Oryzias latipes: one gene and its partners. The protein of the gene in region 2 purifies or fractionates together with the protein of the main gene of each other region. This does not show direct contact. Links are inferred from orthologs where the notes say so. Each region holds a gene or a part of one and is shown on either strand. Other genes may lie near its edges. The genes, in order: wdr19, ift140 and ift43.

What was found.
Region 1: the proteins of ift140 (region 2) and wdr19 purify together in Homo sapiens (co-immunoprecipitation; 3 studies listed by BioGRID and IntAct, with this or other methods). This does not show direct contact. The link is inferred for Oryzias latipes from reciprocal best matches to the Homo sapiens genes IFT140 and WDR19.
Region 3: the proteins of ift140 (region 2) and ift43 purify together in Homo sapiens (affinity purification with mass spectrometry; 3 studies listed by BioGRID and IntAct, counting the BioPlex papers as one, with this or other methods). This does not show direct contact. The link is inferred for Oryzias latipes from reciprocal best matches to the Homo sapiens genes IFT140 and IFT43.

What each region holds. Positions count from the first base shown.
Region 1 is NC_019859.2:13,002,918-13,006,675, forward strand, and holds the start of wdr19 (WD repeat-containing protein 19), read left to right. Parts: upstream 1-1,310; 5' UTR 1,311-1,422; coding exon 1,423-1,428; intron 1,429-2,070; coding exon 2,071-2,162; intron 2,163-2,261; coding exon 2,262-2,327; intron 2,328-2,438; coding exon 2,439-2,564; intron 2,565-2,667; coding exon 2,668-2,786; intron 2,787-2,874; coding exon 2,875-2,990; intron 2,991-3,113; coding exon 3,114-3,194; intron 3,195-3,633; coding exon 3,634-3,746; intron 3,747-3,758. UniProt on the Homo sapiens protein: As component of the IFT complex A (IFT-A), a complex required for retrograde ciliary transport and entry into cilia of G protein-coupled receptors (GPCRs), it is involved in cilia function and/or assembly.
Region 2 is NC_019877.2:9,009,536-9,013,193, forward strand, and holds part of ift140 (intraflagellar transport protein 140 homolog), read right to left. Parts: intron 3,331-3,658; coding exon 3,098-3,330; intron 1,071-3,097; exon of another isoform or gene 1-1,070. UniProt on the Homo sapiens protein: Component of the IFT complex A (IFT-A), a complex required for retrograde ciliary transport and entry into cilia of G protein-coupled receptors (GPCRs).
Region 3 is NC_019880.2:13,343,641-13,346,298, reverse strand, and holds the end of ift43 (intraflagellar transport protein 43 homolog), read right to left. Parts: intron 2,266-2,658; coding exon 2,193-2,265; intron 1,505-2,192; coding exon 1,429-1,504; intron 1,321-1,428; coding exon 1,258-1,320; intron 994-1,257; coding exon 892-993; 3' UTR 614-891; downstream 1-613. UniProt on the Homo sapiens protein: As a component of IFT complex A (IFT-A), a complex required for retrograde ciliary transport and entry into cilia of G protein-coupled receptors (GPCRs), it is involved in ciliogenesis.

The DNA of each region.
Region 1 (3,758 bases), on a different chromosome or scaffold from region 2:
TCATGGGATGAGATTGTGGCGTATTGCATGACCCAAAAAATACAAAAAAAGTGACTCTTCCTACAAAAACAGCCAACAGGAGGCAAGTGTGATAACTGATGACTCTACTAACAGGAGGTAACTCACGGAGGGGCAGAAAACCTAGACAATTAGAGGATGTTGTAAGTGGAAATAAGGTTCACATTTCCATAGGGCATTATGGAGGATCCCACACACAAAGAAAAGTCATTCAAAGCAGTGGATTTAATTCAGAAATAACACTTTCATCTGAACTACTCTGCCACAGGGCAATAAACAGGCAGAGAACAATCATTAATAAACAAATTGAGGGCGTTAAAGAAACTATTATTTTTTGTCGCGTTTGTTCCTTGAATTCATTGTTGATGAAGCTGCACAGCTCAAATCACAAAAATGAGGCGTCTGGAACGGAACTTTACTGGTGACCAGGTTAATACTGCCACCTTGTGGTCAGATTCTGCAATTAAAAAGCTGCAAGTAAAACAGCACAACAAACCAGTTGTTTTCATACATTGATGCTCTGATTTTCAAGGTGCATTCAGTTCAGTATTTAACCACAATCGAAACTCATGACTACAATATATTTGAGTTCAACTTTTAACATAAGAAATTAACAAAATACAAAAAAAAAACAACAAACTTTTTTTTTCGTCACCCAGTAAGCGCCCTAATTACAGTACATGCAAAAAATATTAATTGTGCGAACATGCTGCATACTGCAGTACGGAAGAGGATTAGGGCCATGGAGAAATAAAAAAAAAGGTCATAGACAATTCTGACTTTAAAGTCAGAATTCTGAGATTAAAGTCAGAATTTTCTATGCGCTTTTTTTTTCTTTGTCCATGGCCCTAATCCTCTTCGGTACTGCAGTGATAAACTATAACAAACTTTCTACAATTACTCTTTTCAGAAACTTGAAATGTATTACTGGCCAAATCAGGATTATTTTTAATCCTAATATTTCCAGCCCTGGAGGGTATGAATCCTTAAATATTGAGGCATTAAATAATCAAAATAATGAAAAAATTTACATTTTCCAAACCCCAATCTATGTTTTGTTAGGAATTAATGTAAGGATTAACATCACTTAATTCGTTTATTTTTGCAGAAACCTGTTTTATCTGATTACGTCATGACAGAAAATCCTCATCCTGTAGATATTGAGGGAATGAGCGAGCACAATTGCAAATATAAAATCGTGTCAGGTACAAAATAATGTTTCAGGCGAGAGCCTTTTGAACGGCAGTTTATGGAGGTGTGTGATTGGCTACTGTCTGTTGCTATGACATCGCTGTAGTGGACGCCTGAGAGTGAAGCATTGTGGGAAATACGTTTTTTATCCCCTTTAGGTTGAGAATCTGATGGCACGAAAACTTCAGTTTCGAGATAATTAAATCAAACAAAATGAAGGTAATTTATATCGCAGTTAAGGGAACTTTGTGGTGGTTACTGTGAAATACGTCTGGGGGAAAAAAGCTGGTTCGGTGTGGTGTTGAGTGCTATGCTAACGTTTTACACAGGCTTTGGTTAAGGTAAATTTATGTATGTGTTCTTAAATTAATTCGTGCCTTTCTTTAATGAGTTGTGGATGGATTTTGAGTGTATACGATGTTTTTAAAAAGGTAAAACGGGTTGGAAGTATAAGCTACAACAGTTTTTAACTGAGTTTTAATGAGTTGTTTGATGCTACTTGCAGAGAAACGTTGTTTTGTTTTGTTTTTTTCCAATTTCATTTTTTTTCTTTTATTATCCAAACTAAGTAAATGTTTTTTAAAAGTCACCCAAATAATTCATAGATATTTGAGAATGAGCCACTTTGACAAGTTTAAGTGAATAGAATTGGGAGGAAACCAAACATTTTGCCACCAATGAGAGGATAATCTGTTGTTTCAAATGTAGGAACAATTATATTTTAAATAACCTTTCACCTGTGTACTGCACTAAAAAGTTGCAGATTTCATAAACAAGGGAGGCATCTCTGTAAATTGTCCCCTCAGAGAAAAGTTAGGTTTTGGATCAGTGATATATTAAAAGAGTCATATATCTCCACAGAGTGTTTTTATTCTTGCCGACAAGGCCTGGACCGGCTCCAACCTGCTTTACAAATGGCAAAAAAGTCTTGGTAATTATATTGCTGTTGCAGGGTGAGTATTATTTTTTTTTTGGGGGGGGGGATTTTAAAAATCAAGGTAAGATTATAACCAGAAGTTCAAAAATGTTTCTTTCTACCTTTATTGCTACAGACAGGACAACTCGGTAAAAATATTTGATCGGTATGGACATAAATGGACTGAACTCAACCTTCCAGGGTAAGTGGGACGTTTTCTTTAGGGTTTGTTTTTGTTTGATCAAGATGGATGAAAAACATAAAATAAAGACCTTTTTGCTTTTCTTTCTCCTCCTCATCCTCCTCCTGTAAGGCGCTGTATGGGGATGGACTGGGATAACGACGGCGACATTCTGGCCGTTATTGCAGCAAAATCCGTCTCCATCTACCTGTGGGACGCCAGTGTCAATAAAACATCACAGATAGACAGTGGCCTGAAGTATGATAATCAATCTCTACGGGTTAGAATAGTTACCAAATGAAACATTCTCAGTGCAAATAAAAATACTAATTTTAGCCTTTATACTTCTTGTTGTCCCCAGCAAAGATCAGATGTCCTTCATCTTGTGGTCAAAGACCGGCCCTCTGTTAGCTGTAGGGACCGCCAAAGGAAACCTGTTGATTTACAACAGACAAACCTCACGCAAAATCCCGGTCTTAGGTAAAGCACACTGAATGCAACCTCAAAAGCTGCATGTCAGTATTGGTGAGTGTTACAGAATGAAATGTCTGATGTTGTCTAACTTTAGGGAAACACACCAAAAGGATCACCTGTGGATGCTGGAACTCTCAGAATTTATTGGCCCTGGGGAGCGATGACAACACTCTCACCATCAGTAACCATGAAGGAGATACCATCTCACAGGTACTGGTGCACTTCCTTTAGTGTCATATAGTGTCAGAACATTTATTATTGTTATCGACCACGGAAATCTGACACAAAAAATGTACGGTAGTTAATCTTTCCCGTCTTTTTTTTTTTTTTTAGGCTGCACTGCGTGGAGAACCTGGTGACATTTACTTTTCATCGATGAAAACAGATGAAAGATCATCTCACGGAGAGAGTACTGTAGGTTTCTGGCTTGATTTGTTTTACTTTAACCATAGGTTATGTTTTGCCTGTTTGAGGTGAGGTTGTTCGATAATACTTGAAAAATTGACTTTATTTGTAGCCTTTTGTTTTTTGCTCTTCCTCACTTTGTGGTGCAGCAGCCTGTTACTGTCACTCATCAGAACTATGTGTCCTATTTTCTTCCATAATTGGTTTAACAGATAGTTTAACTCCTGTTTGTAATAGCCTGAGTGCAGACTCTATGATGATAACACTTTTATTTTTATGAGATGTTGTTTTTTAAACTTTTAATTCTATTTTTATAGTACTCATTTTGTGTTGACCTGCATTTTATTACATGAATTTGTCTATACTGGATGTTTTCCTTACAGAACCATATTTACCTGTTTCAGCATTACACATGTCCGTATTTTGATCACAATCTCTGCCTTCTCAGGTGAGTGTGATTGTGGATAAGAAATCCCTGATGCTCTTCAATATCAACGACCCAGAAAACCCAATAAAACTGGCTTTTCAGAGGACCTATGGAAGCATTGTGTCCTACCACTGGTACTGTTTACT
Region 2 (3,658 bases):
TACTTATTAGAACAGTTCTGCTGCTTCAAGCACAGGAGTCACGTATTTAACAAAGATAATGTATTAGGAAGTCTTTAAGCTAAACAAATACAGACCTAATGACACTTCTTCACATATTTACACTTGGGTGAGCTGGTAGCAAGTAGGAGATGGACTTATGGAAACCACCTTTAGAAAAAGATCAAGCTGGAACTTGACCCTTGTGGCAAAAAGGAGCTTTTTGAATAACTCCCTTCATAATTTAATTTGGAAATAAATACAACACCACATTACCTCATGTTTGTCTCTATCTTAAAAGTCATTCAATTTCAAAGGAATATTTTATAATGAATCTGTTGGAAGTTGGTGAATCAATAAGCAAAAACAAGTTGTGCTTCTTTTTATTTTGTCTGTCACATTCTGGGACACTTTTCACTTTTAACCATCTGAATTGTGGTTACATGGAACTCTTTTTAAGAATGTTCTAAGAACTGAGAAAAAAATGGCTGCTTACAGAAAAAGCAGATGTGATCACAGATCAGTTTTGGTTTCCAAGCACAATTTTAGTAACTAAAATGAATAATAGTCATCTTGTAGATGAAGTGAATCGGGATTGGCAGGAAAAAGACCTGGCTCAAATAATGTTTGTATTAAGCATTTTAAATGAACAACTGTTGCTTTTGGTACATCTTGTATAATTAAAAATGTAAGAACTTTAACTCACTGATATGCTTGGACCTTTCACTGTCAGATAGGAGCGGGTCAGATAATATATATAATATTTTTAATTTCAATAAATGTATTGCTTACTTTGGAAAAACTGTCTTTTTCAGGCCTAACAGATGGGGAGGAGGAGAATTAACAAATGAAATAAAAATGTGGATTAAAATCTGTTTAAAGCATCAGATGTTTGGTCTGAGCTGTAATATTTTATTTTTATGGTTTTTACTTTCACTTTAAAGAGTCAAAACTAGAGTTACAATATCGACTACTTAAAAATGAAGGGACAGAGGTTTGGACAGTGCTACTTAAAATGAACATTTTCTATACAATGTTACATAAACATTAAATGCATTCCTAAAGCTGCAAAATTGACGTTTTTTTCTTTCTTTTTTTTACATGCAAGTATGTAACTGTGAGAGCAGCATGTGTGCATATAAAAAAACAAAATAAAATGAGTATATTTATTTTTGTCATTTGAGGACTGCAGCAAAATAGTGACCTTTTAATACTTACTTATGCAATAATGTTAAATATGGATCTATGTTCAACCAACCAGATGAAAAATTATGTAAAAAAAATAACTTTAGCCTTTTTGCAAATTCTATTTTGAAGGATTACTTAAGTAAAAAAATATGTCATCGCCTTGAGGAATAACTAACCGTAAAACAAATATTTTAATTAAAACAGGTCTCACGTACAAAAAAAAAAAACAATAAATGAAGATGAGGATTTTAGTTTTTCACTGACAAAAATGACAAATTCACATCGATCTCAATTGGGTTCATACACTGACGTGTTTAGGCTTATAAAAACAAGAGTAATACTTTTTCACAGAAAATTCCATTCTAAAGTAACTTCACAATAAGAAAAAGGCTCTGAAACTAAAAGCTGGTTTCAAACGTAAATTCAAAATGTTGCTTTATAAAATGTTTCTTATTTGCTTTTATCAGAATTATTCTCATTCTACAAACTCATACATCAGCACATTATTTAGAGGTTGTTAACTTCAACCCATAGAGCTGTAAGGAATAAACTGCCAACCTTTAAAATGGAAGTTCATCTCTGCCCCAACTAATTACCAATAAGTCTGTATTTTACGTGAATACCAATTTGATTAACCACTAAAGCAAGGGTGGGCAATTTTCAGGGTTCAAGGGCCCGTGTCCTCATGTTTCCCAGATATCACTGCCCAACTCACGGCACATTACCTGGATCAGGCGTGTCAAGCCAGTCAGAACATACCAGAGCAGGATATGCTGGAGAACAAGCAGGAATGCACCCCTCTGTCATCAGCCGTTAAATAAAGCATCCTGAAATTTGACTGACACAGACATACTGTCCATCTATGTGAACAGAGGTGATGCTATCAAGTACATTCCTTAAAAAAAAAAAAAAGGAAAAAGCTAAATTCATATCTAAAAATGAAACCCATTGTTGATCAACCCCACAGTCAAAAGCCCCTAATGATACAGGTTACTCCTGCAGGAAATGCACACTCATGTGGGTGGGAGTCAAACACAATATCAACTTAAGCGGGCATAAAAATAGCCATCAATAAGGAACTCAGTAAAACTGTCATCATGACTATTAAATTCTTTGGAATATCCGGCTGACGGACTGTTTGACCATGCCAACGCCGTTTTGCCTTTTGCGTAATGTTTGTACGTGAGAAAGTACTAGGACTTGAAACGAGTGCCCTCAATCACGTATTCTCCCCAAGATAATATCATATCAGTGATGAATATCCATGTACCTTTCTTTTACACACACTCGCGCATGCACACACGCACAAAGGAAACGAGCACACGCACCCTTCTGCTGACATGATTTCATGTTTGGAAGAATGGAGCGGGCACTCCTTCTCCATCAAACTGGCAGGGGAACTTCATGTGTGTGTAATTCAGAATGTGTTTAGAAAAGTACATCCCTTCAGAACACACCCGCACAATAACAAAAACACTCACACATATACACACACTGAAGAGTTCCTTCCCTCCATGCAGATACCAAAAAAAACATTAAACATCTCCTGTGTTGTTCCTTTTTTTACTGTAAGTAGCATATTAAACTAATAAAAGATTGTCAGTTGTATAGGCAGTTCATTCATGATCTGATTATTTCTTAATTCTTAGAGAAAAAAAGAAGGATTTTTTTCCAAATAATTATGAAAATCTTTTATCAATGAAGATGTAAAAAGGGAGGTCTTAAAAACGTTTGCAATCGTATTTTGTGCTGATCATCAATAGTGAAGAACTGCTCATTTATGGGATCTACAAGTTTTTTTTTCAATTAAAGGTCATATTTTCCTTTTTCACAATTTTTCTTATTTAATCTTTAAAAAAAAATCTCCTTTAATTTACATTGGGCAGGCTATGTTTTAGTATTATTATCTTACCTTTTTATGAGCTTGATTGACCTAAAGGCCTTGTCCATGTCACCAGTGGTCAGATAGAAGCTGAAGTTGAGCATGGCATCCCGAGTGGCCTTTTCACAGCTCTCCAGACCAACAAAGTCTTTGAGAGGCCGCCTGGACACCATATGAGGGAACTGAGAAGGCTTGGATTTTGATGAGTGGGTCTGATGTGAAAGTGATGAGGCCTCAGTTGAGCCTTGATCCATCTCACCAGGCTGAGAAATGAAAGGCAGTTTTAAAAAAAATTGTGATTTTGCAAGTAACATTTATGGAATTGTGTTAAAAAGTTCTGTTATTTAAAAAAAAGCAAGGAAATACATTCAACAAATCTGGGGGAAACAAAAACTCTGCGGTTGTTGCGGAACAACATTGCATCACAGATCTACTCTATCCACCAACACAAGAGTATACAGGGCTGACGCTGAGGTCCAAACAAAGCATGGATGCATTTGTGATCATCTTTAAAGTTTCCTTTTTTAAATAAATGCATCACAAGGTGTACACAGTTGAAGGGGCTGGAAGCTGGGAGGCAACATTAAAGCT
Region 3 (2,658 bases), on a different chromosome or scaffold from region 2:
TCTGATCACAGGTATCCCGAGTGAAGGCTTCAACCTGAGTATTACAAATGAAGAAAGCTGATTCGAGGCCTGCTAAATAAAATTAAAAATCGGGATGTTTAAGTGATGAGCAGTGATTGAGCTGTTGGATGCGTACATTGTGTCCTTGAGGGCTTCGCTGTGCATCTCCAAATGCCACCAGACTGATCTCTGCCACTGAAATAAACTTAATCACACATCTGTAAATGTTACAACCATTTCCTCATAGACCTTCCTGGACTTTGGAGGTCCGCATTTATATTCAGACGCATGAACCAAAGACAAGATTGAATGTTGATACATGCAATCAGCACGCCTGAAGCACGACATGCAACATATTTAACAAACCACAAATGACTGAAGGGAATTAGAGCAAACGCAGTCTGCACTCTGTGCTTCAACAGGCCTGTGTAGAATTTGCTCGCTACTTTGAGAAAGATTTCACATTCTCTTGATTCAGTAAAAAAAGTATAATGTATGTTAATCCCTCAGGTGTCAATCGGAACTCTGTTCAATGCATTTGAGATAATAGTGAAGAAGGGGCTGTTCCTGTCGAAGAGCTGCAAGATAAAGTCAATGGCAGAGTCAATAACAATAAGGTTGTAGGCTTTAATGAGGAATGTTAATTTAAACACAATCAAGTGGATTTCAGCTTAGCTGATTATCAACCTTGGACTTGTATGTTGCTGTTGATAATGTTGTCGGTACAGAGAGGGCATGTTTATCTGTGACTGCTATTTTTAACAAACAATTCAAAACCTTGTGGGTTTATATACAAAAAAAGTTAGGCAACAAAACTGTTTAAAGACATTTATAAAAATACAACTCTGTGTAAAGAAGTAGTAAAATAAACTTTAATTAAAGGATCCAAAGTCACTTCAAGCCTGGTTCGCTGCTCTCTCCTTGATCCCATTCAATCAGCAGCTCCGAGGACACCTCTGTAAACAGATGATCCCAGTCCCAGCTCACATCATCCTGAAGAGCAAGGAGGAACAGAACAGAGGCCGAGAGCAGGAGTGTAGGAAGCAGAGGGAAGCACACCAAGAAGGAAAAGCAGAGAGCAAGGAGAGGAGAATGGGGGTGGGGGGGAGCAGAGGTTGTTAATGTACACATCATAAATCTTGATTACCTGAGAGACAAGAGTGGCAGCCTCCACTGGTGCTTTCAGAACAGCTGGGCAGTTCTTTATGTGGAGCTCAGGAGCTATATTTACTAAAAAAGAAAAAAAAATATTCTCACCTCTTTCACCTCCTGCTCTGGGGCTAAAACCTTAGTGAGAAGCTTCAAGTCGATCTCTCCATCCTGAAGAAGGAGAGATGTAAAAAGTTCCTGATTTTCAGTAACTGATGAGCATCACAGAGCTGAAGAGGCCATCTTGAAAAATGAATGAACCCAAACGCCATGACTTACTAAAGTTTGGAAAGCAGAGTAATGCTTGAGATCGTTGTCCAGATCTCTGTAGGTCATCACCTGGCTCACGTGGATGCTGAGAGTACAAAGAAGTCAGAACAATGAAGAAAAGTAAGCCAGAAAAGAAGAGTACCAAAATAATTATGCCTTCACTTTATCTGATACAAATCTGAGAAATATCTTCAGATAAGTTTGAGGTTTCCTCTGAAATAAGCTTCAGGACTTCAAGCAAAGACCACAGAGAGAAAAAGATGGTTGCCAACTGTTAAACGCTTCAAATTGAAACCCAGCTGCTTATCAGTGGGTTGAAATTAAGTGGGGGGGGGGGCTCTGAAAGTGGCCGGGACCTAGCAGCGCATGCCAGTCCTACTTACTGCACATTATACGCTACATTGCCCCTGCAATGAGTTCAATGTGGATATTATCTCTCACAGAGAGCAAGCCCCAGCCTAATAACCTCCACCACTGTCATAGCCTTGCTACACTGTCGACACATGTCGCCGTGTCTCTCACTGCCCTGTAAATCAGAGGACCTGGGTAGTACGGGGCCTGGAAACGGAGTTGCATAAATCACATCAAACTGTTATTTCTCTATTTCAGACACATAAAGCAAGGCGCACTGCGACATCACAGTCCCCACAGCAGCCTGCTTATAAGTATCCCGGGCACGGTCAAGGGTTAACTGTCACCCGCCTGTCTGGGACGAACAGTTCATATTTATTTGAATCTAAAGTGGTTGGGGGGGGGGTGACTTTAAGGAGCACCTTGGTGGAACAGCAACCTGCATCGTCAGATCTTCCTCCTGCACTTCATCAAGGTCCGGAATCACAGGAATATCTAAAAACAGAAGCAATATGATTGTATCTGGAAAAGCGTCAAGAATAAAGTCAATGCTTATCAATGCATAAATAGTTATTGAAGCACACTGCTTATCCAGCGTGAGGCTGCTGGAGGTGTGTGGGTCTGCATGTCATCTACGCTGTGTGACACTTTCTTTTCTCTCACTGCCTCATAAGAGCTGACCTGTCACAATAGCCATGCGGCTATGAATATTCAGCAGGCCGGGCAGCAGCTCATCCTGCTGTGATGGGGGGTGGGGGGTGGGGTGCTGGCCAGGGGCTCCCCCAGAAAGCCCCCCCCCCACTACCTTAGCATTTGGGCCCTGTCAGCGCCACAACCCCCAGGACCCACGGTGGCCAGTAGGCCGACCTCCACGTCCACTCTGCCACT